3 linked regions of the Callithrix jacchus genome follow. The protein of the gene in region 1 binds, or shares a complex with, the protein of each later gene. Links are inferred from orthologs where the notes say so. Each region holds a gene or a part of one and is shown in the gene's direction. Other genes may lie near its edges. The genes, in order: CUL7, OBSL1 and CCDC8.

The links.
Region 2: CUL7 (region 1) and OBSL1 share a complex: the UniProt entries of both Homo sapiens proteins name them as parts of the 3M complex. The link is inferred for Callithrix jacchus from reciprocal best matches to the Homo sapiens genes CUL7 and OBSL1.
Region 3: CUL7 (region 1) and CCDC8 share a complex: the UniProt entries of both Homo sapiens proteins name them as parts of the 3M complex. The link is inferred for Callithrix jacchus from reciprocal best matches to the Homo sapiens genes CUL7 and CCDC8.

What each region holds. Positions count from the first base shown.
Region 1 is NC_133505.1:51,531,306-51,535,048, reverse strand, and holds the start of CUL7 (cullin-7), read left to right. Parts: upstream 1-1,545; 5' UTR 1,546-1,549; coding exon 1,550-1,700; exon of another isoform or gene 1,701-1,789; intron 1,790-2,584; coding exon 2,585-3,262; intron 3,263-3,585; coding exon 3,586-3,737; intron 3,738-3,743. Other genes in the region: MRPL2 (large ribosomal subunit protein uL2m), read left to right, coding at 961-1,173. UniProt on the Homo sapiens protein: Core component of the 3M and Cul7-RING(FBXW8) complexes, which mediate the ubiquitination and subsequent proteasomal degradation of target proteins. Core component of the 3M complex, a complex required to regulate microtubule dynamics and genome integrity.
Region 2 is NC_133507.1:141,311,888-141,315,629, reverse strand, and holds the start of OBSL1 (obscurin-like protein 1), read left to right. Parts: upstream 1-878; 5' UTR 879-1,050; coding exon 1,051-2,062; intron 2,063-3,742. UniProt on the Homo sapiens protein: Core component of the 3M complex, a complex required to regulate microtubule dynamics and genome integrity. It is unclear how the 3M complex regulates microtubules, it could act by controlling the level of a microtubule stabilizer.
Region 3 is NC_133523.1:40,427,003-40,430,735, reverse strand, and holds the start of CCDC8 (coiled-coil domain-containing protein 8), read left to right. Parts: upstream 1-880; 5' UTR 881-1,623; coding exon 1,624-3,216; 3' UTR 3,217-3,733. UniProt on the Homo sapiens protein: Core component of the 3M complex, a complex required to regulate microtubule dynamics and genome integrity. It is unclear how the 3M complex regulates microtubules, it could act by controlling the level of a microtubule stabilizer.

The sequences.
Region 1 (3,743 bases):
CAAAACCTCCACCTCCCAGGTTCAAGTGATTCTCCTGCCTCAGCCTCCTGAGTAGCTGGGATTATAGGCATGGGCCACCACACCTGGCTAATTTTGTATATTTAGTAGAGACAAGGTTTTACCATGTTGGTCAGGCTGGTCTCAAATTGCCAACCTCAGGTGATCCACCCACCTCGGCCTCTCAAAGTGCTGGGATTATAGGCATGAGCCACCGCGCCTGGCCAATTTTTGTATTTTTAGTAGAGATGGGGTTTCATCGTGTTGGCCAGGCTGGTCTCAAACTCCTGACCTTAATCTGCTCACCTCAGCCTCCCAAAGTGCTAGGATTACAGGGCTGAGCCACCATGCCCAACCCTAATTAATTTTTTTGAGACCGGGTTTCTATTGCTTGAGTGCGATGGCACAATCATAGCTCACTGCAGCCTCAAACTCCTGGGTTCAAGCAGTCCTTCTGCCTCAGCCCCCCAAGTAGCTGGGACTACAGGCACATGCCACTACATCCAGCTAATTTTCATATTTTTTATAGAGATAGGGTTTTACCATGTTGGCCAGGCTGGTCTTGAACTCCTGGCTCAAGCGATCTGCCCTCCTAGGCCTCCCAAAGTGCTGGGATTACAGGTGTGAGCCACTGCACCTGGCCCCGGCTAATAGTTTTTATTTTGTAGAGATGGGGTTTCACTATAGTGCCTGGGCTGGTCTCAAACTGGGCTCAAGTTACCCTCCAGCCTCGGCCTTCCAAAGTGCTGGGATTACTGGCGTGAGTCAGTGCACCCGGCTCTTCGATTTCAACTACCTTGTTCCTCCTGTAGGACCTTCACTTAGCTTCACCCGTCTTGTGCTTTTTCTTTCTCCTCTCCCTTCTCTCATTGAGTCTAAGACGCCCCCCAAGGGTTGTGCTCTAAACATTGTCAAATCTTGCCCCCACATCGTACATTCTTCTCCATCTGTTTTCTCTGTCAGGTGCTGGAAACGTGCATAGCAACAGTAGGTCGAGTATCCAACGTTGATCATAACAAACGGGTTATTGGCAAGGCAGGGCGCAACCGTTGGCTGGGCAAGAGGCCTAACAGTGGGCGATGGCACCGCAAGGGGGGCTGGGCTGGCCGAAAGATTCGGCCACTACCCCCCATGAAGAGTTATGTGAAGCTGCCTTCTGCTGCTGCCCAAAGCTGATATCCCTGTACTCTAATAAAATGCCCCACCTCCTGTTTTTATCTGTTACTGTTTTTTGCGGGGGAGGGGATGGTACAGACAGAATGTGGGGAGAAGCAGTAAAAAGTGTCGGAAGATAAAGACAGGACACTGTGGGTCTGCCCCCACCCCAGTTCCCTTACAGGTAATGGAGCCCGAGGATGGAAATTAGTGACGTCCAAGGCCTTTTCCAGTTCTGACTTTGGGAAACGGGGAGGGCACTTCCGGCAGGAGGGAGGACAAAAAGGAAGAGGAAAGGGCGGCGCAGGGAAGGAGGTGCTGCGTCGCCAAGGTGGCACCCGCAGCTCCGCCCCAGCGCTCTCCCAGGGCCCCTAGCTTTCCGCTGGGTCTGGCGGAAATGAGCCGTGGCTTTTGGCAGGCGGAGTCACTGGCAGGGACCAGGCCCCACCCTGCCCCAGTGGCTGCCGACCCACGCGGGCGCTGCTGTTCTGTTCCGCAGAGGCACACCCCCTCAGATCTCTCCGTCTGGATCCCCTCGCGGGGCCCAGGTGGGACCCAATTCGTCGTCAGCGTCTGTGCCGCGTCCCTTGCTCTGTGAAGGACAGGCCTCGCGTCAGGACCCCGGTGGACTTCTGAGGTGGCCAGAGCCCCGCTGCGGCCCCTTGCTCCTCCCCTGACCACTTGCCCGTGGATCCTCGCGCTCACTTGACCTCGGCCCCGCATCCCACCGTGTCTCGGGGTTCTAGTTTATGGGAGTTAGCCCCTCTCCCCCACCTTATAGCGCGCGTTCCAGGCTTCTCGGGTCTCCAACCTCGGTCCCCCAAGCCTCGCGCCCCTCCCCTGCCTGTTCTCCTGTGCACCCTGCCCTGGGTCTCACAGCGCCCCCACCAGCCCTCTTGCTCCGGTTGCTCCAGTCAGAGGTGCCTCCAGCCCATCGCGCCTTGCCCTCAACCACCATTTCTCGGGTCTCTTAACTCTGCGACTCACACTCCCATGTTCCAATCGTAGAGACAGCACCCTTTTCCACACACACACTCGCGATCTCCTTCCCAGCCCCCCATAAATCTACCCCTCTGGGCTTCACATGCCCCCAGGGTTGCTGCCTGTCCCAAAGTCTTGGAATTCACTTGTAAACTCCAAGGCTGCCCTGCCCCCACTGTCTGCCCACTATTCCAAACCCACCCACTCCAGGCTGCAGGGTTTTGGGGACCTTCCTTTTAGCCCCCAAATTTTGTGTTCTTTCACAACACAACCCCCGTGTTCTCTGCTTAGGCCTGCCCCCATCCAGCGTGCAGCATGCAACTCCTGGGCCTGGCTTTACCCCACCCTGCCCGACAGCTGTTGCCATTTGCTTCCCTAACTCCTGGATGTCTGATTTTTCTGACCTCTCCTTACTCTAGCTTGTCTGTTCTCTCTTCCTTGTGTGCTCCAGGTGCCAGGATGGTGGGGGAACTCCGCTACAGGGAATTCAGGGTGCCCCTGGGGCCTGGCTTACATGCCTATCCTGATGAGCTGATCCGCCAGCGAGTGGGCCATGATGGGCATCCTGAGTACCAGATCCGCTGGCTCATCCTGCGGCGTGGCGATGATGGGGACGGGGTCGCTGGCCAAGTGGACTGCAAGGCTGAACATATCCTGCTGTGGATGTCTAAGGATGAGATATATGCCAACTGCCACAAGATGCTGGGCGAGGATGGCCAGGTCATCAGGCCCTCCCAGTCTGCAGGGGAGGTTGGGGCCCTGGACAAATCTGTACTGGAGGAGATGGAAACTGATGTGAAGTCCCTCATTCAGAGAGCCCTTCGGCAGCTGGAGGAGTGTGTGGGCACCATCCCTCCTGCTCCTCTACTTCACACTGTCCACGTGCTCAGCGCCTATGCCAGCATCGAGCCCCTCACTGGGGTGTTCAAGGACCCAAGGGTCCTGGACTTGCTCATGCACATGTTGAGTAGTCCCGATTATCAGATTCGCTGGAGCGCAGGCCGGATGATACAAGCCCTGTCCTCCCATGATGCTGGTGAGGGGCAGTGTGGGGAGGAAGGGAAAGCAGAAGGGCTGGGTCGGCTCAGGGACTCACAGGACACTGTGGCAGGAGCCTCTAATCTCATCAGTACGTAAATGATTCTGTTGCCCTTCTCTTAGAGTTGGAAGAAAAGGAGGTGGGAATGGGGGTGAGGGCGGGGGGTATCTGCCAAAAGAGGAAACCCTATCTTCAAAAATCTCATGTTAATTAGTTACTTTTTATGCAAAGGAAGAATTTAGACTATTGCAGATTGTGTGTGTGTATATAAGTTAGCAAATTTTAACTTTTGAAGCAAATCAATGATTTCCCACTGTGTGGTGGCAAAAGGATTGGATTGAAAGAGTAGACGGTCCAAGATTTTAGGAAGGGTGAGGTTGGGGAGAAGTTACCGATTGGGGTGTGGGTTACAGGGACCCGGACTCAGATCCTTCTGTCACTGAGCCAACAAGAAGCCATTGAGAAACACCTGGATTTTGATAGCCGCTGTGCTCTGCTAGCACTGTTTGCACAGGCCACGCTCTCTGAACATCCCATGTCTTTCGAGGGCATTCAGCTACCACAGGTAACC
Region 2 (3,742 bases), on another chromosome or scaffold:
AGGGCCTCCCTGCTTTCCCCTCCTCATCCCACACCCACCCTCTTGTATGCTTCTCACCCAGTCTTCCCCAGTCCTTCCCACGCCCCACAGTCCGAGTTGCCCCTGCCCGTGGCATTGAGACCTCCTATCTCTGACGTAGATGCCTGTGGCCATGAGCCTTATCTCCCACTCCCGCCAGGAATGTGGGGGAGGGGCTGGAGAGGGTTTCGCCCCAAGCGACCCGACCCTCATGCAAACATACAACCCCTTCTCCCTGCACACATACACACAAACACACACACACACATCCAGAGGGGACATCAACTCCCTATTCACACACACACACACACACACACACACACACAGTCTCACATCCAGAAGTGACATCAAGCCTGGGAGCTGTAGCCGGCCAGCCCCAGAAAGTGTCATTTGTCCAGGAGACAGAGTGCACCACCCCTCAGACCTTCTGGGGCCCCTTTCAATGAGCAGCTGCTGGGCAGGCCAGCCACTGGGGGAAGGGCTGGGGCCAGGGCTAGAACCGGAGCTAGGGCGGGGGCCAGGTGGTCCCGCCTGCTCTATACTTAGCCCAGAGGAGCCAGTCTGGGCTCTTGTCCTCCAGCTGTGTCATCAGAGAATATTTTTGGGATTGGCAGCTGCAGGCGCCTCTGCCACTCAGGCCCAAGCCTGGCGGGCAGGCGGCTGGGGACCTGGTGACTGGAGGTGGGAGGGAGGAGGGGAAAGAGGCCCAAGCTGTGGGAGGGGGCTGGGAAGAGAGCCTCCCCAGAGCAGGAAGCCAGGCCGCAGGCAGAGGAGGCTGCGGGGCCCCTCGCTGGAGAGCCAAACAGGAAGGACTGCCCCCTAAGTGCCGGGCTCTGGGTCAGGGAATCGCCGCCGCCGCAGAGTTGCAGCTCCAGACCGAGGACAGGGAGGCGAGCAGGGAGCGGGCAGCCTGGGAGAACTCCGCGGATCCCCGCGCCCCGGTCCCGGAGCCCTCGCCGCCGCCTCCGGCCTCGGCTCGCCCTCCGCCCACCCTCCCTGGTTCGCCACTGCGGGCGGTCTGTGGCCGCCGCGATGAAGGCAAGCTCGGGGGACCAGGGGAGCCCCCCGTGCTTCCTGCGCTTCCCGCGGCCCGTGCGGGTGGTAAGTGGCGCCGAGGCCGAGCTCAAGTGCGTGGTCCTGGGGGAGCCGCCGCCCGTCGTGGTGTGGGAGAAGGGCGGGCAGCAGCTGGCGGCCTCGGAACGCCTGAGCTTCCTGGCGGACGGCGCGGAGCACGGCCTGCTGCTGAACGGCGCGCTGCCCACCGACGCGGGGGTCTACGTGTGCCGCGCCCGCAATGTGGCCGGAGAGGCCTACGCGGCGGCCGCCATCACCGTGCTGGAGCCGCCGGCCTCCGAGCCCGAGCCGCAGCCCGCCGAGCTCCCGCTGCCGCCGCCGGGGTCCGGGGAGGGCGCCCCGGTCTTCCTGGCGGGGCCGCGGTCCCAGTGGGTGCTGCGGGGGGCGGAGGTGGTGTTGACGTGCCAGGCCGGGGGCCTCCCCGAGCCCACGCTGTACTGGGAGAAGGACGGGATGGCGCTGGACGAAGTGTGGGACAGCAGCCACTTCGCTCTGGAGCCTGGCCGGGCCGAGGACGGCCCGGGCGCGAGCCTGGCGCTGCGCATCCTGGCCGCGCGGCTGCCGGACTCCGGTGTCTACGTGTGCCACGCCCGCAACGCGCACGGCCACGCGCAGGCTGGCGCGCTGCTCCAGGTGCAGCAGCCCCCTGAGAGCCCGCCCGCGGACCCCGATGAGGCCCCCGCGCCCGTGGTGGAGCCGCTCAAGTGCGCGCCCAAGACCTTCTGGGTGAACGAGGGCAAGCACGCCAAGTTCCGCTGCTACGTGATGGGCAAGCCCGAGCCCGAGATCGAATGGCACTGGGAGGGCCTCCCGCTGCTCCCGGACCGCCGCCGCCTAATGTACCGCGACCGCGACGGCGGCTTCGTGCTCAAGGTGCTCTACTGCCAGGCCAAGGACCGCGGGCTCTACGTCTGCGCCGCGCGCAACTCCGCGGGCCAGACGCTCAGCGCAGTGCAGCTGCACGTGAAAGGTACGGCAGCGCCCGGGGCCCGGGGAGCGGCCTTGAGTGTCCTCGGAGGCCCGCCGAACCCCGGCCCCTCTCGGTGCCCGGCGCTGCCCTGAAGACTGGGGGAGGGGAGGTCGGCGGGAATATTAAAAGACCCAACCCGCCTGCCTCCCACTCCCCAGGGATTCGGATTTAGTAGGTCTCCAGGGTGCTCAGCAACTTCTTAGAAAACTCCCCAAGTGATTCTGAGGCAGATGGTGGAACACCACTAAGAAGTGATTGATGTACAAACCTAGAAGGGCCTAGAACTCTTCTCCCCTAGTGGTTTTCATCGTCTTTGTTATTTTACTCCTCCTTCCCCAACTGAATTCACAACCGGAGCCCCAATAGATGAAACAGATAAAGGAGTGTTTTATGGGTGTAAATTGCTAAGTCTACGTGTGTAACAGGCTTCTAAAGCATCAGTGAGAATCAGGAGGCCGTTTTATTGAATATAGGCATTTGAAGTGAAGGCTGCATTCGTGGTTCAGGCTCTGAACCCCGTGGAGAGGGGACGGCCTGGCTGCATCTGTCACCTTGAGAAACCACCGTTTCAGTGGAAAGGTAGACTTGAGGGTGGACAAATTTCCTGAATGTTTTTACTGTTCTTTGATTAAACTGCTCCCCACTTTTGAAAGAAGAGGAAGGTGAAGGAACAATATCCAATAAATGCTTACATTCTCATAAACAGAAAATTCAAAGGGAAAAAAACACACCCCAAACTCACTGGAAGGTAACAGTCTCCATAACAGTATTTCATCACAGTGCAAAGGATTACGCCTTCACTAGTTGTCCAGATTTTTCTCTAGGAGGAAAAACAAAGTTGGTAAATTATCCTGAGTCCTGCCTGGCATGCAGTCAAGCATGTGGCCCCCCCAGGCTGTGGTGGTGGCCTCACTGGTACAGTTCGATGTGCACAGATTCGCCAGGCTGATGTGGATCTGGACCTCCATCAGGGAGGAAAAGCCCTGAGGGAGGGCTAGAGGTGCTTCCCAGAGTTGCACACACAAAAAAAACTTGCTTTTCCAGCAATCTAAGTTAACCTGGTTTCTAACATCCTGTTTTCTTTTTTTTGAAATACACTTTTTTTTTTTTGAGACAGAGTTTTGCTCTTGCTGCCCAGGCTGGAGTGTAATGGTGCAATCTTGGCTTACCGCAACCTCTGCCTCCCAGGTTCAAGCCATTCTCCTTCCTCAGCCTCCCAAGTAGCTGGGATTAGAGGCATGCGCCACAGTACTCTGCTAATTTTGTGTTTTAGTAGAGATGGGATTTCTCCTTGTTGCTCAGGCTTGTCTCGAACTCCCGACCTCAGGTGATCCACCCACTTTGGCCTCCCAAATTGCTGAGATTACAGGCAGGAGCCACCTTGCCTGACCGAAATACACTTTTGAAAAGAGTTAAAATATTTTAAATTCTACTCAGGCCTTTGTGGAATATATGAAATACCTGGGGGAGTGGGGGCAGGAACAGTTTGGAAATCACCAATGTGGTCCAACCCTTTCCCTCTCTGTTCCCATTTTCCAAGTAAGGAGACTGAGGCTCAGAAACATTGAAATGGACTCTCAAGGTGATGCGGCTAGTAAGTGTCAGGCCCGGATGAGAACTTAGGCCATCTTAGGAACTACCACTTGCCTTCTGGTGGTTTTCTGTGATTCCACTGTGCCT
Region 3 (3,733 bases), on another chromosome or scaffold:
CTCCCGGGTTCAAGTGATTCTCTTGTCTCAGCCTGCTGAGTAGCTGGGATTACAGGCACCGACCACCATGCCTGGCTAATTTTTTTGTATTTTTAGTAGAGACAGGGTTTCACCGTGTTAGCCAGGATGGTCTGTCTCCTGACCCCGTGATCTGCCCACCTCAGCCTCCCAAAGTGCTGGGATTACAGGCCTGAGCCACTGCCCCCGGCCGAGCCCGGCAAATGTTTGTATTTTTTTTTTTTTTTTTTTTTTTTTTGTACAGAGGAGGGATTCACCACGTTGGCCAGGCTTCTCTCGAACTGCTGGCCTCAAGTGTTTGTTCCACCCGCCTCGGCCTCCCAAAGTGCTGAGATTACAGGTGTGAGCCACCGCCCCGGGCCATGAACGTTTAGGTTATTCATCCACTCAAAACTATGCATTGAGCCCCGACCTTGTGCCACGCGCCACAGTGGGACTGTTGCAATAAGAACCTGGTACCCATTTCTCTACCCACGTGTGTGGGTGTACGGGTACCGATGGTCGCGTGAATTTAACATGCTCATCTATAGTGCCAGTGGCCCTCAAAAGGTCGAATCCACTAGCACAGCCACCTCCGGGGTTTGGCTGGGACTTGTCCATTTCGGAGGGCAGGTCTGGAAACCGCTGCCTTTCAGGAAAGGTGCTGACGTGGGCTACAGCCGCTTCGCTGGGAAGCAATGGGCCCAGTTAGGCCCGGGACGCGGCCACACCCCTGTGGGGGAGGGGAGGGAGGCCGCCCCGAAGGGAGTGGACAGCCCCCCTGTCAGTCTTCCCGAGTCCGGGAGTGTAAGATGAGACGGGGAAGGTGGGCCTCGTTCTAGGGGAAGGCGAGGAGGAACTTCCTGCCCCTGCGCTCCAAGGTGCAGAGCCCTAAGCGCGCGGCCTGGCAGGCTGCAGCGTGTCAAGGTCAGCCTGGAGCTGGGTGGCGGCCTGCCTGGGGGCGGGGTACCCAACTGCGGGGCCCGGCTGAGGCCTCCCAGCCCCTCGGCCATATTGAATAGCCTGGGCTGGACCGTCTTTGTCTGCGAATTCCTCTTCCAAGTTCCAGCCGCGTCCCCGGTGCCTGGGGCAGGAAGAATCGCTGGCAGCTCGCGCGCCCCAACTTGGAGCTGGACCACCACGTTTCCAGCTTGGAGTGGGCCTTGAGCCTCGGGACTGACCTCGCCCCCGCCCACGTAAGCATCCTGGAAATTGATTCCTCCAAGTCCGTGGCAAGGGAGCAGGACTTGGTCAACACTGGACTTGGTACAGGCGAAGAGATAGGAGGCGTGGGCTCGTCCCTGGCCTGGGGAGGAGACTCTCCGATCAGCGTTGCTGGCACTCCCCCGGCCTCCAGTCCCTCCCTCAAGACTGTAGCTTGTTGGGGCTCATTGCCCCCTCACCTCAGATACCACTCTGGAGATCTTAAAGACTCTCGAGAAAAGCCACGTGGGGGGCTGGTTCCCCTGGGGCTTCCTCCCGTCCCCCGACTGCCTAATTCTTTGGAGCGTCCCCGATGTCTGCAAAGATGTGGATTTGGACGTCCTCGTGGAAGCCCTGAAGCCCGTGGGGACTTTTAAGAAGATCGGGAAGGTGTTCCGCAAGGAGGAGGACTCCACGGTGGGGATGCTGCAGATTGGGGAGGACGTCGATTATTTGCTCATCCCCCGGGAGGTCAGGCTGGCCGGGGGCGTCTGGAGAGTCATCTCCAAGCCCGCCACCAAGGAAGCAGAATTTCGGGAGCGGCTGATCCAGTTCCTGGAAGAAGAAGGCCGCACCCTGGAGGACGTGGCCCGAATCATCGAGAAGAGCACCCCGCACCCGCCCCAGCCCCCCAGAAAGCCCAGGGAGCCCCGAGTGAGGAGAAGAGTGCAGCAGATGGTGACTCCTCCGCCCCGGTTGGTCGTGGGCACCTACGACAGCAGCAATGCCAGCGACAGTGAGTTGAGCGACTTCGAGACCTCCAGAGACCAGAGCCGCCAAGGCCCGCGGCGGGGCAAGGCGGTGCGCAGGATGCCGGTCAGCTACCTGGGCAGCAAGTTCCTGGGCAGCGATCTGGAGAGCGAGGATGATGAGGAACTGGTCGAGGCCTTCCTCCGGCGAGAGGAGAAGCAGCCCAGTGCGCCGCCTGCCCGCCGTCGCGTCAACCGGCCAGTGCCGATGTTTGAGGACAACCTGGGGCCTCGGCTGTCCAAGGCGGACAGGTGGCGGGAGTATGTCGGCCAGGTGTCCTGGGGGAAGCTGAAGCGGAGGGTGAAGGGTTGGGCGCCGAGGGCGGGACCCGGGGTGGGTGAGGCCCGGCTGTCCTCCACCGCATCAGGGAGCGCAGGAGTATCATCCGCGCCAGAGGGCACCAGCCCCAGGGATCGCGTGGGAAACGCGGGAGATGCCTGTGCGCCCCAGACCTCCCCCAGGCGATGGAGGCCCAAGATCAACTGGGCCTCCTTTCGACTCCACAGAAAGGAGCAGACAGCATCCACAGGTCAGGGGGCAGACTTCCAGGCTAATCATGGGGGAGAGGCTGCAGATAATCAGAGGGAAGGGGCCATAGCTGACCGGAGGGAAGAGGCCCCAGCTGACCAGGGGCCAGAGGCTGCAGATAACCAGAGAGAAGAGGTTGCTGATAATCAGAGGGAAGAGGCCGCAGCTGACCAGGGGCCAGAGGGTGAAGATAACCAGAGGGAAGAGGCTGCAGATAATCAGAGGGCAGAGGCCCCAGCTGACCAGGGGTCAGAGGCTGCAGATAATCAGAGGGCAGAGGCCCCAGCTGACCAGGGGTCAGAGGCTGCAGATAATCAGAGGGCAGAGGCCCCAGCTGACCAGGGGTTAGAGGCTGCAGATAATCAAAGGGAAGAGGCCGTACATGACCAGAGGGAAAGGTCCCCAGCTGTCCAGGGTGCAGATAATCGGAGGGCCCAGGCTGCACATAATCAGAGGGCAGGTGCCCCAGGCATCCAGGAAGCTGAAGCTTCAGCTGCCCAAGGGACCACAGGGACAGCTTCAGGAGCCAGGGCCCGGAAACAGGTCAAGACAGTGAGGTTCCAGACCCCTGGACGCTTTTCGTGGTTTCGCAAGCACCGGAGAGCCTTCTGGCACACTCCCCGGTTGCCAACCCTGCCCAAGAGAGTCCCCAGGGCCGGTGAGGCCAGGAACCTCAGAGTGCTGAGGGCTGAGGGCAGAGCAGAAGCTGAGCAGGGAGAGCAAGAAGACCAGCTGTGAAGTGGGAGCTAGGGACAGCGCACAGGCCCTCCCTCCGTGTGGGGGAGAGAGGTTGATCTTTCTGCCTCTGAACTTGAAAACGGAGGTGGATGCTGCCCACATCTCCACCTAAGCACCCTCTTTATTCTCTTGTTAAAATCTAGTCTCATGCTTTGATTTTTTTTGTTGTTATTTTTTAGAGACAGGGTCTCACTCTGTTGCCCAGGCTGGAGTGCAGTGGCATGATCGTAACTCACTGCAGCCTCAAACTTCTGGCCTCAAGTGATCCTCCTGCCTCGGCCTCCCAAAGCACTGGGATTACAGATGTGAGCCACCATGTGCACCACCTGATTTTTTAAAAAAAGACTGATTCCTTGTAGCAACCCAAAGAATGTAAGGAAAGAAATCGATAGGATAGGGTGGCATCACCCATAGTTTTAGCTTTCTCAGATGCAACTCAAGGTGCTCAGTTTGAAACAGGAGAGAGGGAGGGCAGGGGGGAAACCGCCTCTGTTTCCATCTCCCTTCGCCTGCACAC